4 linked regions of the Tamandua tetradactyla genome follow. The protein of the gene in region 3 interacts with the protein of the main gene of each other region in a biochemical or structural test. Links are inferred from orthologs where the notes say so. Each region holds a gene or a part of one and is shown on either strand. Other genes may lie near its edges. The genes, in order: PTEN, DVL2, WWP2 and SMAD7.

Region 1 (6,945 bases), on a different chromosome or scaffold from region 3:
ACTGAAGTTTAATCTCTACAATCACCAACTGCTATGTACACGATAGCCTTGGACCTACATGGAATTTGGGATCTAAAACCACTCAATCTTCATTCTATTACATATGATGTGGGACTGAACATAAAATGCTATCGCACTGTAAATTTCAAGCCCTATCCTACATCACCCTTTCCGGAGAGAAAACGGCAAATTTAACAAAGATCTAATAAGAGTGCCTTATAAGGCATAGTATGGCACTATTGATTTCAAACTACTAAACTTCTAACTGCAGTTCAAAGCTGTAATGAACTCAGTTTAAACATACAAACCTACCTTTGCCTTCAAAACGCACCGTATATGCAAAAAATGATTCTGCTTCTAAAGTTATGCAAATCAGTCCACAACACACATTTTATAAGAATCTATCAATGCAACCCAGGAAACTAAACACAATCACTGCAGATTCTGATGCAATATGCGTACGTGCAACACTAATTTTCATTTTAATCTGATCTATACCCTTGATGAAGCGCCTAAGCCAAGATTTAATCGAAATATGCTCAACCTCAAAGCCTCTACATTTTTGTTCATTTAATAAACCGGATTACCGAGCTCTCTAATCCACTGAGAGTACTGTATCCTGCATTAACGGACAATAGCCCCTAGGAAAAGACCACAGAGAACGACTAAGAAACCAATCTGCACCTTGACACTTGCAACCAGGCAAGAGTTTCGTCTAGCCGAACACACCCTACGTTGAGTACACTCAAGAGACACAAAATACATGATCTAGAAACCAGGGTTAAATGTGATAGCCCCCAATCTATGGAAATTATTCACATCCGTCTACTCCCACCATACGAGTGGCAGAAACGCAAAGAGTAGCAGCCGCAGAAATGGATACAGGTCAAGTCTAAGTCGAATCCATCCTCTTGATATCTCCTTTTGTTTCTGCTAACGATCTCTTTGATGATGGCTGTCATGTCTGGGAGCCTGTGGCTGAAGAAAAAGGAAGAGAGAGATGGCAGAAGCTGCTGGTGGCGGGGCTTCTTCTGCAGGATGGAAATGGCTCTGGACTTGGCGGTAGCTGATGCCCCTCGCTCTGCTGCCGCTTGACTCTGGACCGCAGCCGGGTAATGGCTGCTGCGGCGGCTGCTGGATGGTTGCAGCGACAGGGCCTGCTTCTCCTCAGCAGACAGAGGCCTGGCAGCGGCGGCAGCGGAATGGGGAGAAGACGAATAATCCTCGGAACGGCTGCCTCCTCCGGCGGCCTCCGGAGTCCGGGCCAGGGGGGGTGCGGCGGCGGCGGAGGGGAGATTTAAAACCGGCCCGGGTCCCTGGATGTGCCGCCGCCGCCGCCGCCGTGTTGGAGGCAGTAGAAGGGGAGAGACCAACTCTCCGACGTTCCCAGCCCTGGAAATGGTGACAGGCGACTCCGACCCCCTCCCCGGAGTTGCAGCCGCCGCGGCCGCCGCCGCCGCCGCCGCCGCTTCTCCCCCCCGCTCCAGGAGCGGGAGGTGCCGCCGCCGCGCCTCAGCCGGCTCCCTCCCGAGCCCACGGCTTCCACCTTCCCTTTCAGAAGAAACCAAGGAAGAGGCTGCACGGTTAGAAAAGAAGAGGAGGCGAGAAGCGTTGCCGCTGCCGCCGCCGCCGGCCGGCCGGCTCCCCGAGGGCGCTGCCCCCGCGGCTGCTCACGGGCGCTGAGAGGGGCTCTGGGCCGCGGCCGCCGCCGTCTATCATTTCCCTCGCCTGAGCCCGGCCTCGCCTCACAGCGGCTCAACTCTCAAACTTCCATCATGGCTGCAGCTTCCGAGAGGAGAGAACTGAGCGCAGCCGCGTCCCGACGCCCCAACGCATATCCTGCCGCAGTGCACAAAGAGTCCCGCCACATCACCGCCTGCCGGCCTACCCGCCCCCTCCGCCGCCGCGCAGAGCCCGAGCGCCTGGGGAGCCCGGGGGGTGGCGGGAGGAAGACGAGGTCGCGCCGGGGGAGGGGAAGGGAAAGGAGGGGAGGGCAGGGCTGGGCAGGGCAGGGCAGAAGCAGTAATGGGGGCCGAGCAGCGGCTCCTAGTGCAAACGCAGAGCCAGGAGCCTGCAGGCGCTACTGAGCATGCCCAGTGTGACTGCTGGGGACCCGCTCGGGCTTGTTCGGAGGCTCCCGCCTGTAACTGCTCGTGCCGCCGCTCCTTCTGCAGCAACGCTGGGCGGGGGAAACGGGCAAAGGCTCGGCCTCTACGGAGAAACCAAGCAGGAGGCAGGGTAGGCCGTTGCGGGGGAAGATAGGAGATGAATACTGAGGCCGGTGCGCTGAGCAGTGCCAGCCTCGAGTCTGAGGTTACCTGTGCACAGGTGGAGGGGCCAGGTGACCGCGCTGGTCAGTGTGTACGGAAACGCAGGCACTGTCCTTGCAGTGAAGACACCCCTCCCCCTGCCTCCGCCCCCATATTTCCCCGGTACTGCCTTCCTCCACACTCTCCTTTTGCCCCACTATCAGGCCACAGTCGTTTACCGGGATTTGACTGCAGCAGTTTTTGCCTAGAAATCCCACCCCTACATCTCTCCCTCTCTCCCCCACCCCCGTGTCTCTCAAGGTGTCAGTCTTAGCACAAATAACAAACAGCTATTGTGTCTTCAGTGTGTTTCTCCCTATCCGTCTCGCTTTGACTTCCCCCACCGCGGCTTCTGCAACTCGGCTTATTTGCCCTAAAAACGCAAGCTCCTAGGTGAGCGCCATAAGTATAAACAGATCAGCCCCTGAATTTCCAGGTAGCAAAGAACAACGGTCCAGATGGGCTGAAAGCGAATACCCGTGGGTAGGATGCACCCCGCGGGCCCTTCACTGGCCCCAGCAGAGCCAAGCCAGCCTCCCCTCGGGGTTACAGGTTGGTTCAACGCGACGTACCCGAGCTCTGGCCTTTGAGTCTATCTCGCCCCGCCCCTTTATGATCATAGCAAAAACCCGGCGGGGTGGATGATCCTGGATCTGCGAACCCGCAGCGAAGCTGCACCCGCTCGAGGCCGGGGCTGTGTGGCCGGGGTAGGAAGTACCGGACGGTAGGAAGCAGCAACCCGTGAGTGGGCGGGGCCGAAAAGACTTAGGAGAGTTCAAAGGAGGGGGTGGATGGATACAAGGGCCACAGACGGAACTACTTTCAGGAGGAGGTCACGTGTGCTCCTAGTTGGGGAACTTTCCAAATTCTCATTCCCCTACGATAGCTCTTGAGGCAAGTGGTCTGCTGCCTTCCGCTGGGGTGCGAGACCCCAGACCCTCCGAGGCGACGCCGGGAAGACATTCTCGGGGGAACCTCGTGCTGGAGCGCTATCGGCGCTGGCGCTGAGGAGCTGGTTACACAAGTACGCAGATGCAAGCACGTGCCCCCGCCTCTCCAGGCTAGTTATAGCCACCGAATTCTGTAGATCCTCGGGCGAGAGTTTCCCAGTTGGTCCCACCCCTCCCCTGCCACCGGCCCAACCGAGACCTGAGGTTCCTTGCTGTGGACTGCTCACGCTGTGCGTTCACATCCGTGAAGAGAAAGGGCTGAGCCCTGGGGGTCTGGAGCATCCGCCCTACCGGTGCTCTCTTCCTGAGGGCGAACCGGCCAGGCTGTGTGCACGCCTGCCAAAGGGGTATCTCTTGCAGCATCTCGCTGCAGGGTCCGCGATGTTGCAACAAATTTCTAGTCACTACCTTGGAGCTGGTGAGCGCGCCCCACCTACTGTAGACTCAGCCAAGTGACAGAGCTCGTCTGAAAACCTAGAGGATGGCCGTCTGCCCTGAACAAACCTGTCAAGTCTGTTTACAGTCCCGATCTATCCCTGTGAGAGAGAGCTCAGAACTGCAGAGCATTTCCAACCCCCGGACCCACCCCTTCTTATCAGCTACAAAGCAAATGGTCCACCTTCTGCATGGGCATTAATCAATACCAATGTAGGGATGCCTACCTTTTTGTTCTTTCCACTGGGAAGTGGAACTCAAGGCAACAATCTGAGTCCGGAAGGATCTGACTTGAGAATTCCAAATGTAGTGGAACCAGGCTGGGGCACTGGGTCGTTTTTCAAAATTCAGGAGAATGGGAATCAGTATGCCTGTGCATTGCAATAATTTTAAATAGGTGCCTAGGAAGGTCTAGAGAGGATTTATGCACTGTGTGAGAAAGGATTGTGTATGTGCTCATCATGGTTACAGGCAGCCTCTGAAGACTAGAAGCCCCAAGAGATCCAGCTTAGAAGCCACAGGCCATTACCTAACTCCAGGACTACTCATTAAACGGGGAATATTTACAGTATTCTCAGCGACCTCTGAAGCTCCATAAAACTTAGCATTTGTATACAACATCTTTTTTTAAAACAGCACCCTAGGAATTAGCAACCTGCCAAAGCTCTAATGTCAATATATTGGACTCTGGTTTTGTGCGTGTTTCTGGCCAGCTTGGAGGGGGTGGAGATCATGAATATAAAAGGAATTGGAGAGCAGTGTGGGGACGAATAGGAGAAAGCCCTGCTTTTGGTTTCCAAAGATGAAAATCCTGTCCATACAGCCTCGTGTGAGCTAGAAATTTCTTTATTTTACAAATAACCAAAGAGAAGGAGTCCCAGGTTTCAAGGTGTTCCCCTAGATTGCCTAAGAAGAAGCTGAGCTATCCCCAATTGAGTATCAACTACTTCTTGGGGGAAAGCGAAGATGAAGATGAAGCTAAATGAAGGGAAGTAGAATGGGGAGGGGTAAGATGTGCTATGTTTGTTTTCAGGTCGCTCATCTTGTCCCCAGAATATTTGTTATTTGCATTACACTGCTCCACCCCTCCCCTGGAGCCTGCCCTGTATGAACATTGGTGTCCCAACAGCTGAGAAACTCTCAAATCTGCTTCCTTGGGAGAAAATGGGCTCATTCCTGTCCCTCTTGGTGTCAGGCATGAAGAGAGGATACATTTCAATTCTCATAGCACAGAACTATTCTGGAGCAAGAGGGGATGCATCTGTAGCATTAAAATGCTAGAACCTGAGACTAGCCTGCAAGGATTTCTCTCAGACCAAAGGCAGAAAATAGGATATTTGCTCCTTCTCTGAACATCAAGTCCCTCTACTCCTCTCTAGTGGTGAAGGAAAGAATCACCCAATGTGGCAGATGTTTGGCCAGCCTAACAGTGCATCAAGTGGTTACTAGGAGTGGCTGAATAAAACCTCCTCCCTGTCCCAGTGTTAAGTATTTTTCTGAAGGAAATACTGATATATCCATTTTCACTTTTTCCTTCTACTCAAAGGATCTCCTTACCCAGATGGTAGATCTGAAACCTCTAAATAACTGGCCCTAATCTAAGGTGAGGAGAGTTAAAAAATAAATTGTGGGTTTTTTTCTTATTTAAATTACAATTATCTGCTTAGCTGTACAGATAATACAATACACTGGTTTCTAAGCACTTCAATTCCTTACCTGTCTGGATTCAGAACACCCTAGGGAGAAACAGAAGCTTGTAACAAAGGGAGAGTTATATAAAGCTTCAGGGAGACTAACTATACAGAATAATTAGTGAACATGATAAACCAGCTTTAATTATAGTTCCTCAGAGCTGATTCCAAAACTGTGCTGTTAATACACCCTAAGAAAGTCCAAGGAAAATTCCTTTCTTTTCTTTGATAAATGGAAATGACAAGCTGCTTGATGTGTGATATAAATAGTTGATGTGCTCTTTGTAGGTCCTGCTGCTAAAATGTCTTTTGTCTGTACTCTGATAGCTACGGTGCCTTTCGCATCTCCCACACACTGACCTTTCAAATAGAGATCTAAATCAATGGCTTTAATTTTTAAGTAATCTTCTCTATTTTTATCCGTTTAGCCAGTTTTCTAAATAATACAGAATAGAAAAATGTAGTAATTGTAGGTTTGAATTTAAATAGCCCATTTTTCCAAGGGTCTGAAGTCTTTTCCCTTATTTCATTTATCCTAATAACAAATATTGCTATTCCTTTACATATTCAAGACATTTCCTCAGAAGATACTGCCATGGGTTATATGTAAGTAACTATATCCTAAAAGAAAATTTTCCTGAACATAAGAAATGCTATATTCCAGGGGTCACACTGTGATTACACAGAAAATAAACCCAGTCAGCTCTTCATTCTGTGGGACACACTCTGTTCGTGTTATTTTTTTGTTTTCTAATATTTTTATTGAGACATCTTCACACATATACAGTCCATACATGGTATGCAATCAGTGGCTCATAATATCATCACATAGTTGTGTATTCATCACAATGATCATTTTTAGAACATTTGCATCACTCCAGAAGAAGAAATAAAAAGGAAAAAATAAAAAAGACAAAACTCATAAATCCCATGCCCGTTGCCCCTCTCTCTCATTGACCGCTAGTATTTCAATCTACCCAAATTTTATCCTTTATTTCCCTTATTATTTATTTTTAATTCTTATTTTTTAACTCATCTGTCTATACACTGGATAAAAGGAGCAGCAATACAAGGTTTTCACAATCACACAGTCGCATTATAAAAGCTATATATAATATACAATCCACAACGTTCCTCTTGTTTGGATTTATCAATGACAAAATTATAAGCACCATATGATGTTAGAGAATAAAGACGTAAGGATATTTTGAAGGGCAGGAAGGAGGAGTCATTCATCCCTTTCTACCTTCATAAATGATTCTGACTCCATTATCATGGAAGGAATAATTCTAGGTCCTGGGAATAAAGAAGGGAGCTGTATTAATTAGGGTTCTCTAGAGAAACAGAATGAACAGGGAACACTCGCAAATATAAAATTTATAAAAGTTTTTCATGTGACCGCGGGGATGCAGAGTCCAAAATCCGCAGGGCAGGCTGTGAAGCCAACGATTCTGATGGAGGGACTGGACAAACTCCACAGGAGAGGCTCATCAGCCAAAGCAGGAAGAGCCTGTCTCTTCTGAATCCTCCTTAAAAGGCTTCCAGTGATCAGATTAAGCA
Region 2 (7,280 bases), on a different chromosome or scaffold from region 3:
AATTGGGAGGCAGGGCATGAGTGCTACGAGTAAGGGAGAGGTTTAGAGAGTCTGAGAGACTGAGAGAGCCTAGAGAAGCGCCCAGAAAGCAGCAGCAAGCAGTAGAGGCTCTAGAGGAAGAAGGCTGAGGGGATCCAGACCCCAAATGGGCAGGAAAGCAGAAAGTCAGGGCCTCCACGACCGAACAGAGGGCTACAGATGCTGGGGGGAGCTGGGCAATGTGGAAGGGCCTGGGCCCTTACAGTCAGGGCCCCTTACCCAGGAGACCACCCTTCCATTGAAGCAGGGAAGGCGGGCATTGTCATCTGAAATTTCTTCCTTCACCACCCTGCAAAGAGATAAGATAAAGGTCAATGAGGCTGGGCAATTTTCCCCCAGCTCCCATCCACATTTCAAAGTTTCTGCATCCTCCCAACCTTCCAGCAGCTCAGGGATGTTGACTTTCTCTCCTTATCCAAGTCGTATTCTTTTACTCTGCAACACCTCCCTCTTGCCCTGAGAAGGCTCTAAACTCAATTAATTCCCTTTCCTTATTTTAACTTCTCTCCCCAGCTCATCCTTGGGGGCTCAATGCTACTGCAAAGATTTCCTTGAGTCTGATTCAAATCTCTCAGTCCAATTGAAAAAACCACCCTCCCATGGCCACCCCAGGAGCCCAACATATCCAACCTTACCAGCCTTGCTGGTGACCTCATCCCACCCCCATTTCTCTTCCTCACACACCTACCCTAAAGGCTTTGGGCTTCATCTCTCTAATCATGCTCCCCTTTATTTTTCTTTAACTAATCTTCCAGAGATCTATCCAAACGTGCTGCTTTGCTAGGTGAAAATAGCCATTAGTCCAAAGAACAGCACTTCGCCGTTAGGCTGAGCGGTCCCACAGCAAAGGAGCCCATCCTCCCATTCCCATGTGCCTCACGTGGCACAGAACTCTGCAGAAAGCAATCTGCTCAAAAGGGAAGCCCAGGCCTACGGGTCATCTCTCCACTGGGTTCCTTATGGTAGACTGGACTTGGCCCTTCTTGTCAAGCACCACATCAAATGAGGAATGCCCTTCCTGTTGGACACCAGGCCCTGACCACACAAGCTGGTATCCAACGCTTAGGAAGCGTTAGCAAATATTTGACTGAATGAATAAATAAATGAACTATGAGACTCTGGTTTCTCTATTTCCTCTCATACACACATTCTCACACCCAAATTGGGACATCCTGTTGATTAATCCTTTAGCCTAATATGGGTTCTGAGAGCTTGGATATATGCCAACTTAATCCATTTGCTACCAGCATGACCTGTTCTGTATCAACACAGCCAGTTACTACTAATCTCAGTGTAATGTAGTTTCCGTCCCCAAATCGCAGTCTCAGGACAGCCCAGTGACTCCAAGACAAGTTATTCTGTATCACTATAACCTAGTCTAGGACTAGTCAACCTTGATACAAATAATGATAATTACTAATCACTGAGAATTTACGTGTGCCATGAACTTCCACTAAGCATTTTATTCAGAGATTATCTTCATTTCACAGTTATGCACATCAAAGTCCCAGAAAGTTAAATATGTTGCCCAAGATTACAGTGCTGACACATAAAAGAACATTGATTTAACTCCAAGGGAACTCTCCAGACAGCACTGCTCTCCCAGTGTCAGTCAGCCCTTCTAGGTAGAACACAGTCATAATTCTTCAAGAACTCAGGCTATCCCAACTTAATCTAGCCTGCCTCCAGAAGCACTGAGACTGAGTGCCCCTGAGGGATTGTCCCAAAGGCTATATAAAAACATAAGGGCTTGCTCTGCATTACAAACAGCCTAGGGTTAGCCCAGGATAGTCCAGAAGGTCCCAAATTACTCCAGCAAAGCCCACTGTAATCTCACACAGCCTAGAACACCCCCCACCTGCAGCTGTCTACAACAGTATAGACTGAGATATCCCCATACAGCCGTCTGTACTAGTATAGACCCTAACTGCCCCAGCTGCCCCAGTATCAAGTATTCTAATAAAACCACGGCGGCCCCAAAACAAACCAGGATCAACCATACAAGTCTGTCTAACCCAGGAGAGACCAGAATAGACCACGTTTCTCCAGAACAGCCTAATCTACTCCACGACAGCCTGGAACATCCCAAAACCGCACTGTCTGCATTAGTAGAACCTAGACTGTCCCCCCAAACTATCTCATTATAGGCCCGAAATGTCCCAAATTGCCTCATGATAGCCCAATCTATCTCAAGAGATCCCTGTATACTCAGGGTGCTACAAGACTGCTCAGAAGGTACTCAACTACCAAAGGACAGATCCATCTAGTTCAGGACAGTCTACCCCCCAAATAAGCCCGTGTGCCCCGCTCTAGTTCAGTATAGCCTAATCTTCTCTAATCTGGTTTAGTACAGCCCAGTCTGCCCTTCTACAGCTAGCTCCGTGTGCCTCCATTCGCCGAAGCATAACCTTGTCCGTTCCGGGAGAGTCAATCTACCCAGCCTAGAACAGTCTGCTCCACGAAGCCCAGAAAATCCCAGTATGGTTCAGAACAGATCTGTGTCCCTCAATATTGCTCAATCCACTCCAGCCCCCATCGGTCCTAGTCTAGGCCTCGCGCTCACCCGAAATCTTGATCCATAGACTTGAAAAAGTACTTAGCGCCCGCGGGCCGCTGCAGAACGCTCTTGAAATCGCCCAGGGTGATGCGCTCGGCGGGGACAGGGATCTTCACCAGGTAGGGAGTCTCTTCCTCATCCAAATGGTAAATCACCTTCGTCTCTCCGACACCACCAACCCCCGCACCGCTGCCCGCCATGGTCTCGTCCGCGCGCTCCCGGGCTCCGCCGCCCACCCACCCGGGCTGCTCGCCCACGCCGCGCCTGCGCACACCCGCACACCAAAACGCGACAGCGGACAAGGCCGGCAGCGTCCGAGAAGTGCGGGAGAGAAGATAGCGGGTGGCGGGGGCGGGCCGGGCGTGGGGCACTACCCAGAGCCGCAGACTTCGCCGCCGACGCCGCGAGCAGACACCGCTGCCCCGCCCACCTCTCCCTGTGTCACGTGACCCACACCCGGCCTGCCTCGCGCTCCCCGCTGTCCCTCCGTCACGTGACTTGTCCCGATCACGTGACCTCCTTGATTCCTCCTAGCGCCCCCGCCACATGAGCGCTGCCTTCAGCAACGGTCTCCCAACCCTCAACAGCCCCACCCGAAAATGTGTCCCCACCCGTGTCTTCCACAGCACCCGGGCTGAATCTGGCTTCTGCCCTCTGAAACAGGTGGCCTACTCCCACCCCGCTCTACCTCATCAGGGCGGGAAGCTCAAGACAACTCTGATCCATTGAAGTGTGCTTGTGGGGGGTCTTAGACTGGAGATGAGGTGGGGCAATGCGGACCCAAGTCCTACCCTGGGGTTGTGCAGTTATCCGATGGTAAAGACCCACTGCAGGGGCATTTCCAGCCTGGACTTTTCTTCCCACTTTTCCATAGCCTCCCTCCCAAACAGGACAATCAGTGAGAGCTATAAACACAAAAGAGCCCATTTCGCTTTATTTACAACATGTAGGCTGTCTGTACAGCTGGCCAATATTATTAAAAACAAAAGAGGTGAATGAGAGAAATGTCACCTTTCTGCTTTTCTTCCTCCCTCAGTCAGGCTCTGGTACTCCACCTTTGAGCGGCCATGCCCAAAAGGGGAAGCCCAAAATTAAAAATACAACCGATGTTGAAGAAAATAAACAGGGAGATAGGAAGAAGAAAAGATGAGGAAGGGGCGGTGCTCTATTTACACTAGAGTTTACAGACAACTGCCTCATCCCATCCCAATTTCAACCCTGGCCCAGAAAGTGAGGCAGGCCCAAGAGGCAGGGATTTTGTGTCTAGGGACCCAGACAACCTCCAACCCCAACTGCTATGGATCCAAATTCAAGTCCAGAGGGTGGGGAGGAAGATAGGGTAGGACCATGAGATACTCATTTCCAAACAAGCCTCCCTTGGGAATTCCTGCCTTGAAGTAGGACAATGTCCAAGCTCCAGGGGATGGGTTGAGGACCCTGAGGCTCAGTTCCCAAGTCAAGTTGTCAACTGGAAGTCCCAGCCTGGACTTGGTGATGTCAAGGCTCTCCAGATTTGGGGGGTCCCCCTAACCGCCGGGCCTCTGGCCGCAGTTCCTTGCATTTCTGGCAGTAAAAGAAGTCAGGGACATTGGTCTTCTTAATCTTAGCACAGGAGAGATGGATCCATGTCCCACACAGGCTGCACTCAATCATGGGCCGCCCTGCAAAGGGTTTTCTGCAGTAACACGTGATGAGATCCCACGAGTCATCACCTAGGGAAAAGAAGGTTTGCTTGGTGTCCTGCTTGAGCTCTTGGGGGCCACGACTTCCCCAAGCCCCTCCTCCCACCTGCCCCTGGGCAGCCCCCAACCCCCTCACCTGATTCTACCATGATGTCCTCATCCATGACCCGCATCTCCCCTTCACTGGAACTGGCATCTCCATCTTGGCTTGTTTCAGTGCTACCCACCTCCTTGCTTTCACTGTCAGTGGGAGGGGCTCCTTCAGGAGGCCCTGTGGCAGGGGGTCTGGGAGCCTCCGGGGGTGTTGGGAGTACAGGGGCTGGGACTTCACCCCCTACTACTGCTGCCATCTCCTCTTCCTCCTCCTCTTCTTCTTCTTCCTCCTCCTCTTCAGAGTCTGTATCACTAGGGGGTGCTCGGGGAGGCCCAGGAGGTGGTAGTCTATCCCCCCGCTCTGCCTTTTTCAACTTCCGTTTCTTGCTCTTCTTGATTCGAGACCTCTTTTCCCCATCTCCAGGGGCTGACCGAGGCCTCCGAAGCACCCCAAAGCCAGACCCCCCTCCTGGCCCCAACTTTCTGTTCTTTCGGTCCTTCTTTCGAGGAGGTTGGGAAAGGTCTCCCTGGGAAAGGGACACTGGGGTGAGGGCAGTAGGGGGCCGGGAGACATGTGTTAGGGATGTGGGAGAGAGTGGAGATGCCACTTTGGGCCCATCCAGATCAAAGAGAGAGTCCTTGAGCTTCATCTTCTCAAGTAGGGTGGCACTGTCAGGGCCCTGCAGGCGAGAGAAAGTGGCCCTTGGAGGTCCTGGCTGGGTGGGACCTGCTTGAGCCGCCCTTCTCTTGGATGATTTTGCTTTCTTAACAAAGGTCTGGATGGTACGGAGATCTGAAGGGGCCGAGTCCCAGCCATCACTGTCTGCTGCACTCTCACCTCGCAATGGAGAGCTGGAGCCAGAGGCTGGCCAGTCACTTTCCTTAAAAGAGGAAGAGACCAGGGTCAGCAGGGGACCCAATGTCATCCCTCTACAAACCTAACCTGAAAACTAGACTGTATCTATGCCAAAATATTGTAGCCATCCACCAAATCTCACTCTATTCTGGAAACTTATTTCTACCCCATCCTCATCTCTTGTTGAGCACTTCATGTTACTTCTGCCTTCAAATTCTAGCCATCTCCCCTGCTGGGGCAATTGGAACACTGTTACCCAGACCCATGTTTCTTTAGCTGTATCTGTTTAGCCTCATTTGTTACCATTTTCAGCTCCCTAAAATGTATCCAGAAGGACCTTCCATTCACAGCATCCCAAATACCATTCAAAAATCTTGACTAAAGACCCAAGAACCAAGTTCAGCCTCTTCCATTGCTACCCAAGCCACCTATTTCCAATATTCTCCCAGATACTAATTTTCTCACTACAAACCTAGTTTCCAATTTTCCTAGTCTTACATATAATTTGTTAAACTCGCCTGTAAACTAATACAATTCCATTTGCTCAAAAGCCCTTCTGGGCTACCAGCTTCAAGCCAAGTGTTCTCCTGTCCCTACCTCTTTGCTAGGGGGGATGTAACCCGCATAAGCCAAGACAAAACTGCAGAATTTGTTGAAATCCTCAATTGTTCTCCGGCGTTTCTCTGGTGGCTGAAAGGAAGGAAACATGGATCACATGGAGACCAGAAGCTGGGGTTTCAGAGGGGCATTCCCAAAAACATAGTTCCTGGAATGAGGAATCTGGGAAAGCTGTGGGGATAGGGGGAAGAGCTGGGAAGCTAGAAGGAATATTGGGTTGCAAAGGCAAGGGAAACCTCACCTGAGTCTCTGGCTTAAGGGTCGGAGGTGGATCTGTGGAAGCAATAAAAGCTGAGTCAAGGTACTAGCAAACAGTCCATGCAAACCCCCCACCTTGAAACTTTGGCGATCCCAAGAGAACCCCCTCTTCTGCCAGGTCATCTGCCAGGCCAGCAGGCCCCCAGCTGTGCTGGAACCGCCGCCGTTCACCTCCCACCCCATGAGGGGCGGAGCTTGGGCGCGGCGCCCTCCCAGGCCTCGCTATACCGCTCCCCTTCCCCCCACCGAAGGCCCGGTGCCCCGCCTTCCCCCACAACTCACGGTTTCCCTAGATTCTAGACTACTCGGATCTCTTAGCGCCCCACCCCGCCAAACAGCACCCCGGGCCGAGTCAGTTCGCCGCCCGCCCCTGTCCTTCACAACGTGCCCAGTGTCCCGCGTTCCTGCCCCACCAAGCGCTACCGCTCCAGGCCTCCGGGATCGCACACGCCGCCCGCCGGCCCCCAGGATCCGATATGACCACGCCGAACCTCTCCCCGCCCTCCGGCCCCTTCAACTCGAGCACGAGGCCTGGCGTGCCCCTCACCCCCACCCCAAACACACAGACACACACATCACGTCCGGGACCGACCAGAGGGCTTTAACCCGGACGCTGCCCCACCTGCCCCCCCACGCCGCGCTCCCCACAATTTCGCCGTCCCTCCGCCCCCATCCGGGGCTTTGGCCCCTCCCCGTCTCGAGCTCCTTGGGTTCCCCGCCGGGCCCCTGGGCCCAGTTCCGAGCTCTCACAGGCCGTCCCCCCTCCGCCCCCGTACTCACCACCAAGTCACTAGGCTACGGACCCCTAAACTCTAGGCCCCCCTCCCCCAACCAGCGACTCTCTCCCTTCACAGCAACCCCCGCCGCTGCTGCCGCCGCCCCCTTCGCCCGCCGCAACTCCCAGGCGCTAACCCTCGCCAACCAACCCCCCCTCCTCCGGCGAATCGCCGGTCTTAAGCCCCCACCCCCACCCCGCCCCACCGCCCCCTGCAACTACCCAGCTCTCCTTGCTTCCCGGCCCTCTCTCTCCAACTACCCATCGGTACAGGTCCCTCTTCAGCAGACAATACCCAGACCCCTCTTACCCCCCACAACTACCTGCCCACTCCTCCAGCAATCACCAGGCTATCTCCGGCGGCAACTACCGGGAGCACCGGCACCACCACCACAAACTCCC
Region 3 (7,277 bases):
TTTCATCTGGATAATGACAATAGACTCACCTTCTGCCTCTACCCTCGATGCCCTTTGTGCTTTCTCTGCACAGCAACCAGAGTGAGTAGGTTAAAAGATAGGCTGGATTGGTCATTCCACAGCTGAAAACCCTCCAACAACCCCAACTCACTCTGAGTGAAAAACATCCTTCTGATGGTCTACAAGACCCTACACCACCTGCCCATCTCTCCTCTTTCCCCCAACAGCAATCTGACCTCAGCTCCTACCACTCTACCCTTCGCACACTCCCTCTAGCCACACTGGTCTACAGGCATGCTAGGGGTGTTCCTTCTTTAGGGTTTTCCAACTTCCCACCTGGACCTCTCTCTGCCTGGACCATTATGCCCCCATTCAGCCATGTGGTTCCCTCTCTTACCTTTAGATCTTCTACTCAACTGTCACCTTCTCAGGCAGGCTTTTCTAAGCACCCTATTTAAAACTGCAACCCCACTGAACACTTCGCATCCCTCTTGTCTGCTTTATCACAATATAATATGCATCTTATCCATTTTCCTTTCCCCATTAACATTTCAGATCTGCAAGGGCAGGGATGGTTGCCTTTCTTATGTACCACTGTATTTCCCCGCAACTTAGAACAGTGCTATCTGGGGGCCACATATGTTAACTTCTTATTTTCTAGGAGCAACATTTTTAAAAATAAACAGTTGAGTAATTTATTTTAAAAAATTATAATAAACAATTTTAATAAATTTATTTACCCAGTAGATTCAAAATATTACCATTAATAGTATATATTTGTATCATAAATATAAAATATTTTTATATAAATCATTTCCATAAATTTTATATAAATGATTTCCATAAATGATTAATGGTAATTAATAGTATATATTTGTATCACTAATATAAAAATATCAATGATATATTCTTGGTTTTTCATACTAAATCTTCGAAATAGAATGTGCATTTATCTCAAGGGTTCAATAGCTGGTGGCCACTGTACTAGACAGTGCAACTCTACAATAATGCAAGGACCTATATCCATTGAATAACAGAATGTTTTCCCAGGAAGAAGAGGTAGTTATGACAAAGGATTTTCTATATAGTCTACAGTACTGATTTTTACTGTGATTATACTATTAATATTTTTTCTTAGAATGCCATTTTTTTAATATTTAAAAATAAAACTTAAAATCATCTCCATAAATGAAAAAGAACAGGTCTAGGGATAAAAAGCCTGCACTTGCCTCCCTACTGTGTCATTTACTAGCTCAGCATCAAACTTCACAGGCTTATGGTAGAAATTAAATGGGATATTTGCACAAAGTTCTTTGTAGATAGGGAAGGAGTCATTAAGTGGAAGAGACTGAGAAGCCAACCCTAGCCTTTCACCCATGTTTAGGGTTTTATTTCCAAATGGACCAACAACACATAAAAAGACAAGCATGTCTCGCAAGAGCTAAGATAGAAGACTTAAGTTAAAATCCTCTGTCTGCCACTTTCAGCAAGGTGACCTTTAGAAACTCATTCATTCATCACCTATTTACCAAGTGCCCACAATGTGCCAGGCACTAGGCTGGAAGCCAAATATATAAACCCTGTCCTTGAGGGATTTGCAGTCTAGTGGGGGAAAAGGGACCAGTAACAAGAAAACAAAAATTGTTAAAAATCGATTTGTCCCTCTCAGATCTTGTGAAATGTGAAATGGGACTAATATCTTCCCAACCTAACTCACAAGGTGACTACGAAAATTAATTTTTCAATGTTTGTCAAATACTCTACAACCTGAACTCATAATACATTAGCAAAGTTACTTTTTTTGTCCTACTTGTAATCTACGACAACTCTGGGTCCTGTGAATGTCCAGTTTAAACATTTACTCCAGTTATGCTGTATTCTTGAAACTTATTTCACTTTTGCAAATTTTAGTAAACATGAATAGAAAGAGGAGCTCGAGAAGCTTTAATACAGGTATCTAATCTCAAAACCATGATTCATAGGTCACGGTTCTAAGGAACACAACACAGACCTCTCAGCCACCCCAACTAGTTACAGTTTGTCAAGAAAAGTAGTCACATGGTAAGGGAAGCTGAATAATTTAAACCAAAGAAAGAAGCAAAGTCACAAAATGTGTAGGTAGACACTGCTCTGTCCAAGATTTCAGCAGTTGCGGGGGTAAATGCTGGACTAAGTCGCGGTCAACAGTTTCGACTGTCATTTTACAACGAGAGATAAGTACCCACATTTTTTTTTAAGTCTTAAAGATGACCTGATCTGGGAAAATCTCAAAGAAAGGTGATCTGAAGGGCTAGGTTCCCGAGAAGAAGAAACCCGATCCAAGCAGGACTAAGGGGGTGTGACGAAAGCAAGATGATCAAGATTCCGTGATCCCTCCTGAAGTTTTAAAAACTTAAAGGGACAGAAATCAAAGTCTCTGGTGACAATCCTTGCAAAAGAGAACGGAAGGAAGAGACTCTCAGATGAGGTTCAGGCAGCATCTGCTTCCATCTCTCCCTCTTTCCCTCCAAGCCAAATGCCCATTCACAGGCACCTCCTTCCAGTTCAGTCCCAAGTCCCCCCTTCCTCCTCTCCCGATCCCTCCACAAATGTCACACCTCTCCAGCCCCTGGCATCCGGGAAGATTCACTGCCTGCCGAACCCCTGGCTGCCTTTAGAGACCACCCCCGTGCAGCCCCCGCACGCGGCCCCCGGCGCGCCCACCCCGCACCGGCGGGAGCCGGGACACCCCTCCTCGGAGGCCGGAACCGCCACGCCAGGCCCCTCCCACAGGAAGCCGCCGCCCCCCGGAGCCCGGGCCGCGCCGCCCCAGGCCCAGCACTTGCCGCCGCTGACCGGGGCCCGACCCGCCAAGCCCGGCCGCCTTCCGGGCAGCCCTGCGCCCGCGCTCGCTACCTGCAGCGGCCACAGAAGCGGCGCCCAACTCCTCTCCCACTTCCGCCTTCCACCGACCGCACTCGAGCCGGGTCACGTGACCACGGGCGGTCACCTGACCCGGAAGAGGCTGGCCGGGTTTGCAGGTGTGGGCAGCCGGGCCTGGCCAGGAGCCTTTGGCCTGGGTAGCGCATTTTATTTTTGTGTTTTTAAAGTGGAGGGATTTTTTTTCACCTCCAAGATGCTCCCTGAGCAATCATAAATTGAGGGTCACTGAGGGCCAGGCGCTTCATTTTCTCCTCCCATCAAATCTTTGGGGGCGGGTACTATCATTTAACCCCATTTTACAGGTGAGAGGAGTTAATTCAATAGATGAAGTCAACAAATATTTATTGACCTCCATAGTAAGGTTGCCGGATAAAATACTAAAAAAAAGAAAAGAAAAGTATTCATTGTTTATCTGAAATTGAAATTTAATTGTGCAACTTGTATTTTACTCAGTAAATCTGATGATCCTGCACCTATTGTGTGCTAGGCACTGTTCTAGGCTCTAGAAACAAAAATCCCTGCCTTTGTGGAACATATGTTCTTGTGATATTGAACTAAAATAGAAAAGCTTCTTAAAAAACCCTGCTTGGGGGGTGCAAGTCTTCCTCGCAGGGTGGGAGATGACTCCCAGAGATGAATCCAGCCCTGGCACAGTGACATCAACAATACCATCCTAAACAAAAGGGAGAAAAGAAGTGTAACAAATAAGGTACCAGTGGCTGGGAGAGCTCAAATAAACTGGGGAGGCTACTCTGGAGGACACTGTTACGCAAGCTTCGGTTAGATATTGCTACCTACTATAACTTGCCAAACCCCAACCAAAACCATTCCAGCCAATCCTGAAGAATGCCTAGGGCATTTTATAAGATTCTGCAAAGGTTCCATGCACTAGGGTAACTTTCTAGCATCATCTTATTGGTAGCCTTCCTTATTTTTGGGGTGGTATTTCTAATGCTAATCTAAATTTTTGTAGTTTTTGGTTCTACTTGCTGCAGCATAGTTTATATGGTTTATCGCCTTTATAACTATTGTGTTTGTTTTTCAGATATCTATTTCTTTTTTTTATGGTGGTATTGAATCATGGCTGCAATTTCTTGGACACCCCTCCCATCAACAGTTGGAATTGATGCCCCCTCCCCTTGAATCTGGGTGGACTTGGGATTGCTTCATCCAATACAGTATGGAGAAAGTAATGCTGCATCACTTCTGAGGTTAAAACATGAAATACCATCTTGTCAGCTGAAACACTCTTGAAGCCCTGAGCTACCAGGTAAGAAGTAGTACTCCTTCCACGAGGCCACGATTCTGAAGAGGCCATGTGCAGGCTCCCTAGCTAACTGTCCCACATGAGCCCAGCCTTCTAGCTGTCACTGCCAGATGTGCAGTCGAAGCCTCCTAGACTCTTCAGCACAGCCCATCTGGCACTTGATTTATCACCCAGTGATCTGCATCAATGCCATGGAAAAGGAGAATCACCCAGCCAAGCTCTGTCTGATTCCTGATTCATAAAATCATGAGCTATATGACTCCTTTAGGGAAGAATTATGAAATAATTATTTAAAAAATGAAGAACATGTTAGTGGTAGCCAGGAATCTGAGATGCAGGGAATGGGTGTCTTGATTGTGGTGGTAGTTAAATAAAGCTCACATGTGTGAAAGTTACGTGGACACACACACACATACCAAGTGAGCACAAAAATTGGTGAAATCCAGATAAGCCCTATGGATTGTACTGATTTTGGTTGCTTGATTTTAAAGTTGTACTGTGATTGTCTGCAGTGTTGATATTGGGGGAGAGTGGTAGGACTTCCCTATACATTTCTTTGCAACTTCTTGTGTATCTTTAATTATTTCAAAGTAGAAGTTTTAAAATGATGGGCTCTCTTTTTCTAAGCCCAACTCTGCTAGGGAAATCATTGCCCTCCCCACTACGTGGGACATGACATCCAGGGTGAAAGTCTCCCTGGCCATGTGGGAGATGACTTCTGGGGATGAGCCTGGCCCTGGCACCATGGGATCAACAATGTTGTCCTGACCAAAAGTGGGGAAAGAAGTGTAACAGATAAGGTTATCAGTGGCTGTGAGAGCTCAAATAGAGTCAAGAGGCTACTCTGAAGGTCACTCTTATGCAAACTTCAGTTAGACATTGCTCCAAATTATAGGTTGCCAAACCCCAACCAAGACCACTCCAGCCAGTCCTAAAACCTAGGGCAATATATAAGATTCTACAAAATGTTCTATACACTAGGGTAACTTGCCAGAAAACTACAACCTCCAGTTGGGTTCCTAGACCACACAAGTCCTGAAATGCAGAGGGGCCAGCCTCTCCAGAACATCAACTAGTTACATCCCCATAGCCCATATTACTGATAGCCCCTTCCAAAATGAAAAAGTTAGCATGGGCATAGCCCAAATACACCTAAAGAGTAGGAAGATCAAAGGTGATGGTGGAGTTATACCGAAATGGTAGGATTTCACAAATGAGTATGATTTCTGAATCATTTTATTGATATTTCTTTTAGTTGCCAGTATCTTAGAGCAGTATCTTAGAGCAAATTCTGGGATCTGTCCTATAACTATTTGTTGAAGAGTGCTTTGAAAACTATTGCTTTTTTATTTCTTTGCTTTGTTATGTATGCTCTACTATACAGTAAAAAAAGTTAAAAGGGATGAAAAAATTTCACAGCACAGCACCACAATTAGTTGTAGAACATATTTCAGAGTTTCACACGGGTTACAATTCCACAATTTTAGGTTTTTACTTCTAGCTGCTCTAAGATAGTGGAGACTAAAAGAGATACCAGTTTAATGATTCAACATTCATATTCATTTGTTAAATCCTATCTTCACTGTATGACTCCACCATCACCTTTGATCTTTCCGTCCCTCTCTTTAGGAGTGTTTGGGCTATGACCATCCTAAATTTTTCATATTGGAAGGGTTTGTCACAAATATGGGGTAGGGAGATGGAACCATCTGATGTTCTGGAGAGGCTGGGCCCTCTAGGTTTCAGGATTTATCTGGACCAAGGACCCATCTGGAGGTTGCAGGTTTCTGGAAAGTTACTCTAGTGCCTGGAACCCTTGTGGAATCTTATATCAATATATAAGATAAGAACCCTAGGTGTTAAGATTGGCCGGAATGGTCCTGGTTGGGGATTGGTAGGTTATGATAGGTAGCAAGGTCTAACTGAAGCTTGCATAAGAGCAACTTCCAGAGTAGCCTCTCAACTCTATTTGAACTCTCTCTGCCACTGATACTTTATTAATCACACTTCTTTTCCCCCTTTTGGTCAGGATGGAATTGTTGATCCCACAGTGCCAGATCCGGATTCATCCCTGGGAGTCATCTTCCACATCGCCAGGGAGACTTTCACCCCTGGATGTCATGTCCCATGTAGGGCGGAGGGCAATGATTTCACTTGCAGAGTTGGGCTTAGAGAGACTGAGGCCACATCTGAGCAACAAAAGAGGTCCTCCAGAAGTAACTTTTAGGCATGCCTATAGGTAGTCTGAGCTTCTCCCCTACCTACATAAGCTTTACAAGAGTAAGCCTCAGGATTGGGGTCATGGCCTATTGATTTGGGTGTCCCTAAAGTTTGACATGGTGTCAGGGGATTACCTGATGGTAAGGTTTAATAGTTCCATATTCCTTCTCTCATCCCTCTTGGAACTTTTCCTTTTTTGCTGTGCAGGCACCGGAAATCGAACCCAGGTCTCCTGCATGGCAGGCGAGAACTCTGCCTGCTGAGCCACCATTGCCTGCCCCTCTAGAAATTTTTGTGCTTTGAAATTTATTGCTTTTTTGTATAAATGCTATTTTTCACAAAAAAAGAAAAAAATCAATTGTGGTGATAAAAAATTACTTATTCGTTATAGCCTCCAATGTTATGGGGCAGCTAGAAGGAAAAAATCTAAGATGATGGTATGGTAACCCATGATAAACTCAGGGATCTGCCCTGTAACTACTTGTTAAAGAGTGCTTTGAAAACTATTGCTTTTTTCTTTCTTTGCTTCGTATATATGTTATACTATACAGCTTAAAAGGTTTAAAAAAAATAATAAGGCATCAGTGACTAAGAGTGATCAAATGGAGTCCAGAGGCTATTCTGGAGGCTACTCTTATGCAAGTTTCAGTTTGATAGTGCTAATTGCCATGGTTTGCTTAACCCCAATCAACATCACTCCTGCTAACTCTTAAGAAAACCTTGGGCTTGAGACTCTATAAATAAAGTTTGATGCACTAAGTTTGCTTTCCTGGAACCTATAATTTCTAGAAGGCTTCTAGGCCTGATAAATCCTGAAACTCAGAGGGACCAGCCTCTCCAAAATTATCAACTAATTATATCCCCCTAT
Region 4 (7,459 bases), on a different chromosome or scaffold from region 3:
TGACATTATCTGTGTTTGTCATATTCGGCTGCAAGTTATTTTGGTCTCTGTGACTTGTGGCTGTACCATGATTAGGGTTTGATTACTATCACCAAAGTGACTAAAAGATGAAAATAGAAGCCACAACAGGAAATAAACAATTGCAAATGAGATATTTTATTCCATATTCCCTGCCAGCAAATGATTAGAATCAAACTCATTCACAATAGTTGAGTGAACTCTTAAACTTATTTTTTTTAAAACAGGATCAGAATAGTCTGAAATGGTGTGCTTGCTTGTCGTGCACATTTGTGCCTGTGGAAGGGAAAGAAAGGAACTCTCTGTCTAGGCACCCCAGCCAGCCAGAGGATTCTCTACTGCCCAGCTTCTTTCTGGGAAAGGAAAGGAATAAGAATAGGATGGGGTGGGGCCGGCTGCAGGAAAGCTTGAGATGTTAACTGATTCAGGCAATGCCTGGGAGCTATAAAACAGCACCGACCATTGCAGCTACTTGTCTGGAATCCCACCGATCTTCTACCTAGGGTAGTTAAGTAGAGGAAGAAAGCTATGTAGAGAGGGCAAGATAGGGGTGACGCCTGAATTAAAATACCCACAATTACACTATATGGGAACATAGCTCTGCAAGTTTATGCATGTTCCACGCAGACAAGCTGTGACGTCAGATTCAACTACAGAAACACCTACTACCGGCCCTGTGTGCACTTGGGCCACTACTCATCAGGGCCTTAGCACCACTGACCAGGTTTCCAAAAGATTCTGAAGAGTCTCTGTTTAGTCAAGACACTTAATTACAATGTACGACAGTTGCTCTCTCTGTTTATTTAAGTTCTTCCTGTCATTTTCCCACCCAGTCTAGCCCCTCTCAAAAAGCAAATATCTTCCAGGAAGGTCCAGAGGTGAGAGAGGGGATGGGACCCCAAGAGGACAGGAAACTTGCCCAGAAAGTTCTCCAACCCCAGCCAGCTGCCCTCCTCCCAGGAGATTCATTAGTAGTGCACGTTGCTTTACTTGCAGGAATCAGGTTTTCTGACTTCTGCTCTAGTCTCTTTCTAAGCCTTTCTCAGGTAAGTAGGTTAGACATTTCCCAGACAACTCAAAAATCCCATTTCTGTCTCTTCTGGTTTTAGGTGTGTATGTTGATGGGATCACCCCATGCAAAACTCCTCCTTCTCCATTTCCTCCAGGACTTTCTTGGCTGCTGTCTTTTAGAGGATGCTTTTTTAGAAAGTTTTACACACCACCCAGTTTTCAATGACCTTTTCGATAAGTAACTTTTTTTTAAGCAGAAGTATGATTTTATACAATTGCACCCTAGGAAGCCTTATAAAATAAATGTGTAGAGTGACAGCTTCTGCCACTTCCTATAGGTTTCCACACTGCTTGGCATCTGCTGTCTTCTAGGTTAGTAAGCTTCAGGCCCTCCTTGCCTGAGATGACCTTGTAACCAATGTTGCTGATCCCCTCTCACTTACGTTTCCAAAGGTGTGTTTTTGGGGAGAGGAGAAAGTGGCCCAAATGCCCCTAAAAGTCCTACCCAAGTCCTACCTAAGCGTGATTCTTAAATATTTTTTAAGCATCTATTCCACATCAGACACCTTTAAAGGTGCTGGAGGGGACTCCGGGAGCCTGCAATTATAAAGTTGTCTAAAATTAAGCTGAACCTTTTAAGAATTTATAATCTAGGTAGAGAGATGAAAATAGTACGTTTCACCTTTTCTAAAAATCACCGTTTGAGTTTCTTTGTTGTCCAGATCTCACAATTTGAAATGATGTTAAAAAAAATATGTCGTTGAATAAAATGCATGAGGTTAAATCGCCATGGCTACTGGAGGCCTTGCTGCGACTGATGTGTAGATATCTAAATCACTACGTTTCTTAGTATCATCACTCTGTGAATACATTCTGGGCTTTCACCCTAGCAATTCCTTACCCACTTCTGCGCAGAAACCTGTCTGCTAGGTGTATGCTTCTCCCAAGCCTGGGTCAGGGGATAAACTCTGACCCGAAGCATCTTGAGCACCTTGAAAGGTACAAGGCCCAGGGGGGCGCTGCAAAAGCCCGCATGCATACGCCATGCCCCAGGCAGGTCCGCTCCGAGGGTAACCTTCCCGCGCCAGGAGGTGGGGTAGCCAGGCTGCAGCATTCCCGGCCCTGGGCGAAACCTGCTGGCGGGGGGCGGGCGAGCTCCCGCTCTCTCCCTTCTCCCGCCACGACGCTGCCCCTCGCAGCTCGTCAGCCGGCCAAATGCATTCCAGAGCTGTGCACAAGACACATTTCTCCAGGCAGTCCCAGAAACCGGAGCCCGGAGCGGGAGAGGGTGGGAGGGAGCGCGCGGCCGCCGCTGAGGTCACACTCGCGCCGCCTCCCCGCCCTTGGCGGCCCGGCTGTTCCCTCCAGCACACACTTCCCAGGGCCTCGGTCCAGTTCGGTGTAAATGTCTTTTAAACGGAGGCAGCGCTCTCCTCCCCCTTCTCTCCGGCGCGGCCAAAGGGATCCACCGCCAGGGCCTTTAAAACAAAACGAATGAATGAAGGGCGAAGCTCGGCGGGCTGGGTCCACATCGAGCCACCCACCGGCTTGTTCCGCTCCAAAACTCGCCGGCGAAGCCAGCTCGGTGCTCCCGTTTTTTCGCGTTTCTCCTCCGCTCGTGCCAAATCGCAGTCGATTCTGGGAGCCTCTGCTCCCCACATTTCTCCCTCCCCCATTAGTCCCCGTTCGCAGACCAGAGAGGGGGTGGCGGTGGCGGGGGGTGGGGGGGTGAAATAGCTTTTAGAAACCCGATCTGTTGTTTGCGAAACACAATCGCTTTTTTTTTTTTAAAGCGACAGGGTGTCTAGACGGCCACGTGACGAGGCCGGAGCCGGGCGCGCCACTGCGCAGTGGAACCAGCCGAGCACAGGGCCGGGGGGGGGGGGGGGGGGGCGGGAGGCGGCGGCGGCTGGGGGCGGGGGAGGGAAGAGGGAGGGAAGGGGGCGGGGGCGGGAGGCCTAGCGGGAGGCGGCGAGCCCCGGGCACACTAGCTCTCTTCGCTCGACGCACGGAGGAGCCTGTCCCCGAGCCGCGCCAGCCGAGCCAGCCGGGCGCCGTGCTCCGTCTGCTTGCCGCGCGGGAGAGAGCTGCCCGAGACGGAGCCAGCCCGCCGGCGCCGAGCCCCTGAGCGTCCGACCTCGGAGATCCTGAGTGCGGCGCAGCGAGTCCCCAGCGGCGGCAGAAGGACCCGAGCGCCAGGAGAGGGCGGACGGGGGACAAGGAGGCTCCGGGGCGCGACGAGGAGAGCCTCGGAGGAGAAGGCGGCGAGAGGACCCCGGGGCCTCCTGCCGTCGCCGCCGGGTCGGGGCGAGCGGCCCATGCAGGGAGCCCCGGCTGGCAGCCGCTGCCAGAGGAGGGGGCGCCGGCGGCCCCCGCACTAGCGAGCAGCTTGCGCCCGGGAGGGCGAGAGCGCTCCGACCCGCCAGGAGCCCGCCGCCGCCGCGCCGCCCACCCCCGCGCTGTCAGCCCCGCGGGGCTCAGCGGCCGCCGCAGCATCTTCTGCCCCTGCGCCCCCGCCAGCCCCAAGGAAGTCCCCGCCGAGGACCCGGGCCCCGGGAGCGCAGAAGGAAAGACCAGAGACTTGCCTAAAATACCCAGATGCGGAGGATTGAAGCAACCAAGCCAAAGCTTTCTGTGGATTAAAAACATACATATATTTTCTTTCTGGGGGGAGCAGAAGAAAAGGAGAAGACCAGCGGGGCTCTGCAAGAAAAAAGGAGGGATGTAACTCGTGGATACGGTTTTCCACCCCTCAAACATCTTGTTCTACTTTGTAAATATTTTCTTTTTTTAAACCCCAGCTCCAGCCGGACGCCCCCAGACCTCCGGGGTGTGAGAAGGTTGTGTTTTCATTTTGGCTTTGCATATTTGGTTCTTAGGTTTTGAGAGAGCCTCCTTATTTCGCCAGACATCTCATGCGGGGTGAAGTCCACTCGGCCCCCTCCCCCGAGTCTTCGTGTGCACGGAATTCGAGGAGATCCGGTTACTAAGGATATAGAGGAAAAAAATAAATCGCGTGCCTGCTTTTTTTTTTTTTAATTGCCTGCTTCTCCCCACCCCCAAATTAAGTTGCTTAGCAAGGGGGAACGAGTCTTTTTCCTCTCTCCACCGGCACTGCCGAACGCCCTTCGTTTTTTGCCCCCGCGGGTCTTCCATGTAGGAAGCCGAGGCTGGCGAGCCCGACACTCGGGAGCCGCTGCGGGGGGGCGTCTTTTTGTGGCGGCGCGGAAGAGGGCAGGCTCGGCCGCCCCCAGGGGAGCGGCGGCCGCGTTTCTCCGGGGCGCGCCGGGGCCCGAGAGCCGCGCAGGGCCTGGGCCGCGCGGGGTGGGGCAGCCGGAGCGCAGGCCCCTGACCCCCGGCGGGCGCCCAGCGCACCCCGCGCGCGCCCCGGCCTCCGGGAGACTGGCGCATGCCACGGAGCGCCCCTCGGGCCGCCGCCGCTCCTGCCCGGGCCCCTGCTGCTGCTGCTGTCGCCTGCGCCTGCTGCCCCAACTCGGCGCCCGACTTCTTCATGGTGTGCGGAGGTCATGTTCGCTCCTTAGCCGGCAAACGACTTTTCTCCTCGCCTCCTCGCCCCGCATGTTCAGGACCAAACGATCTGCGCTCGTCCGGCGTCTCTGGAGGAGCCGTGCGCCCGGCGGCGAGGACGAGGAGGAGGGCGCGGGGGGAGGTGGAGGAGAGCCGCGGGGGGAAGGGGCGACGGACGGCCGGGCGCATGGGGCCGGCGGCAGCGCGGGCAGGGCTGGCTGCTGCCTGGGCAAGGCGGTCAGAGGTGCCAAAGGTCACCACCATCCCCACCCCCCAGCCTCGGGCGCCGGCGCGGCCGGGGGCGCCGAGGCGGATCTGAAGGCGCTCACGCACTCGGTGCTCAAGAAACTGAAGGAGCGGCAGCTGGAGCTGCTGCTCCAGGCGGTGGAGTCCCGCGGCGGTACCCGCACCGCGTGCCTCCTGCTGCCCGGCCGCCTGGACTGCAGGTTGGGTCCGGGGACACCCGCCGGCGCCCAGCCCGCGCAGTCGCCCTCGTCCTATTCGCTCCCCCTCCTGCTGTGCAAAGTGTTCAGGTGGCCGGATCTCAGGCATTCCTCGGAAGTCAAGAGGCTGTGTTGCTGTGAATCTTACGGGAAGATCAACCCCGAGCTGGTGTGCTGCAACCCCCATCACCTTAGCCGACTCTGCGAACTAGGTAAGAAGTTGTGCTGCCCCTACCCTCCTCACCTCCTCCGCGCCACCCACCATTGTCAACACTCCTGGGGGAAGTGTACATCCCTTCCTGGGAGGAGACTTGGGAAAAAAATGGAAAAGGGACGCGCGGGTGGAGGGGAGACTCGAGGGACATTCCCTGGGGGTTCCCTTCCAGTGTTTCTCGTCTGTTGCCCCCAAGGGGGCTGTGAGCACTGCTCTTGCACACACTGCACAGACATGCGGTTCAAAACTAGGCACCCTCATTTCCGGATCAGCCAGGGGATGCAGAGAAAAGGGAGGGGGCACGCCCCCGCCCCCCCCCCCCCGGAAAGGCGTTAGGATGTGTGGCCGAGTTGGATTTCGTCCAAGTCCTCCAAAGAAGGCTGGGAGAAGCAGGAGTTGTAAAGGATGGAAAAGCCTCCTGTCTTTTAGGAAATACGGACAGTCGCGGCAGGCACAAGTGGCTCAGATACGGCCCTGGTCGCACAGCTTTGGGGCTTTGGGGCGGGCCGAGAGGGTTAGGATGGGAGGCCGAACTTGATATCCACCTCAACTCGGCCAGCTCCAGAGTGAAAAGAAAAACGGTCCCGAGAAGTTACGTCTCCTCTACTTTTTCCTCCCAGCAGAGAAAAGCATAGAAGTGTGTGGAGAGCTGTGTGCCCCGGAGCCCCCCTGTCGTTGCTGCCCCTTAGCGCGCTGGGCCCTGAACTGGGCTTCGGGATTAAGACCCGTAGCCTGTCTCCTTTTATCTTCCCAGCCTCTTCCATCCCTTCCCTTTTCTCCAAGCCTGTGCTGGGGTGGGGGTGGGGTGAGGTGGGGTGCCCCGAGCCGGACTCTTGTAGACACCCCCGGCTCAAGTTCAACCAGGAAAGTTCGGGCCGGTAAAGGGGAACCCCGTGCCCTCCTCCGCAATCTCCCCCCTGGCGGGGGCCGAGCGGAGCGGCCGGGACCGGGATGAATCGCGCCCCTGGTGGGCAGGCCGGGGCGGGGAGCACTGAGATCGGAGTCTGGAGGCCGGGGGGTGGGGGGCTTGTCGCCCCCCGCCCGGTGAACTGTGAATTGCGCGGCCCGGGTCGAGTCGGTGGTTTCCAGCTCGGCCCGCCGAACGCGGCGGCGGCCCCGGCAGACGTGGAGGAGCGGAGCGCCGAGGCTGGCGCCAGGCGGCCTCTTTTGTTTATCTGACAGCTAAATATCAAGGCAATCACCGCCTCGCGGCCCAGCCTCCAACCCCCACAGCTAAGACAAACAGTTGGGCTTAAAGAATGCCTCTGTTATCATAAGTTTCTATCTTTCTCATGGCTCGGCCTTTATTTTCTCTTACTTTTTTAATTCCAGAGTCTCCCCCTCCTCCTTACTCCAGATACCCGATGGATTTTCTCAAACCAACTGGTGAGTAGAGGATTTTTAAAATATTCTTACTGTCTTTAGTTAAGAAGGAAGCCTCTAGAACCCAGGTTTTATTCCTAGGCCAGCGATCTGGGAAAGTGCTGGGCTTCCTTCCCAGCCTGTCGGTTTTCTCTATTGGAAGTTTGGTGGGTTTTTCCGAGTTTTTGTTGTGGCTGGATTTTTAAATTTATGGAGATGTTTCCTAGTTATGTTTATGTTCTATTCTTTTCTCATGTATTTGCCCTGCGTGGCGGAAGTTGGCTCAGCTTTAACACATGGAAGCTTTGGTCCACACAGAAATGTCTTAGGAGCCAAATAGGATAGGTTGGTGGGAAAATTCAAAGTCTTTGCTTTGTGAGTGCCAGGAGAATCCGTGGGAAGATTGGGCAAATAGAAGCAGGAGAAGGCAGTTTAAAAAGGTGCGGTGAAGACTGATTTGGAGGGAGATTTTTAGAAGATTTTAAAGACTTTTCCCCATCTCCAGTCACCTAGGAGTCAGCCTTCTCCGGCCTGGGGTTCTCTCAGAATTCTTGGTAGGGACCATAAAAGTTTTTAGCATAGCTCTGCCTGCCTGTTGCTTTGTCACCGGATGGCACCCAGCCAGGGCAGAAGCCCATTGGAGGCTGGCACCAACCTGCCAACCTGCTTGCGGTTGTCTGCATTCAACTTATGGCTGGCAGCAGGAGGGCTCACCCTATGTAGGGAACAGTGGAGTGGGAGAGGGTCAGCAAAGCTGGGACTTAGAGCTCCAGTTTCCTGGAGCTCCTTCTGACCGTGGGACATTTATTTGCTGAAAGCATGGATTATAACTTTCTTCTTTCCTTGTGCCTGTATAGTGGTGTCTGAAAAATGTAAAGCTTGT

What was found.
Region 1: the proteins of WWP2 (region 3) and PTEN form a complex in vitro, tested with the Homo sapiens proteins (7 studies listed by BioGRID, with this or other methods). The link is inferred for Tamandua tetradactyla from reciprocal best matches to the Homo sapiens genes WWP2 and PTEN.
Region 2: the proteins of WWP2 (region 3) and DVL2 form a complex in vitro, tested with the Homo sapiens proteins (2 studies listed by BioGRID, with this or other methods). The link is inferred for Tamandua tetradactyla from reciprocal best matches to the Homo sapiens genes WWP2 and DVL2.
Region 4: the proteins of WWP2 (region 3) and SMAD7 are reported together in a solved structure, tested with the Homo sapiens proteins (2 studies listed by BioGRID, with this or other methods). The link is inferred for Tamandua tetradactyla from reciprocal best matches to the Homo sapiens genes WWP2 and SMAD7.

The regions. Positions count from the first base shown.
Region 1 is NC_135339.1:47,986,466-47,993,410, reverse strand, and holds the start of PTEN (phosphatidylinositol 3,4,5-trisphosphate 3-phosphatase and dual-specificity protein phosphatase PTEN), read right to left. Parts: upstream 3,018-6,945; 5' UTR 2,882-3,017; intron 2,004-2,881; exon of another isoform or gene 1,871-2,003; coding exon of another isoform or gene 1,829-1,870; intron 1,828-1,828; coding exon of another isoform or gene 1,774-1,827; exon of another isoform or gene 1,631-1,773; intron 1,467-1,630; exon of another isoform or gene 979-1,466; 5' UTR 963-978; coding exon 884-962; intron 1-883. UniProt on the Homo sapiens protein: Dual-specificity protein phosphatase, dephosphorylating tyrosine-, serine- and threonine-phosphorylated proteins.
Region 2 is NC_135332.1:61,100,604-61,107,883, forward strand, and holds the start of DVL2 (segment polarity protein dishevelled homolog DVL-2), read right to left. Parts: upstream 3,021-7,280; 5' UTR 2,797-3,020; coding exon 2,603-2,796; intron 329-2,602; coding exon 259-328; intron 1-258. Other genes in the region: PHF23 (PHD finger protein 23), read right to left, coding at 4,094-4,308, 4,415-5,252, 5,825-5,917, 6,087-6,118.
Region 3 is NC_135342.1:63,871,575-63,878,851, reverse strand, and holds the start of WWP2 (NEDD4-like E3 ubiquitin-protein ligase WWP2), read right to left. Parts: upstream 3,007-7,277; 5' UTR 2,896-3,006; intron 1-2,895. UniProt on the Homo sapiens protein: E3 ubiquitin-protein ligase which accepts ubiquitin from an E2 ubiquitin-conjugating enzyme in the form of a thioester and then directly transfers the ubiquitin to targeted substrates.
Region 4 is NC_135344.1:34,119,867-34,127,325, forward strand, and holds the start of SMAD7 (mothers against decapentaplegic homolog 7), read left to right. Parts: upstream 1-4,459; 5' UTR 4,460-4,608; coding exon 4,609-5,212; intron 5,213-6,546; coding exon 6,547-6,600; intron 6,601-7,459. UniProt on the Homo sapiens protein: Antagonist of signaling by TGF-beta (transforming growth factor) type 1 receptor superfamily members; has been shown to inhibit TGF-beta (Transforming growth factor) and activin signaling by associating with their receptors thus preventing SMAD2 access.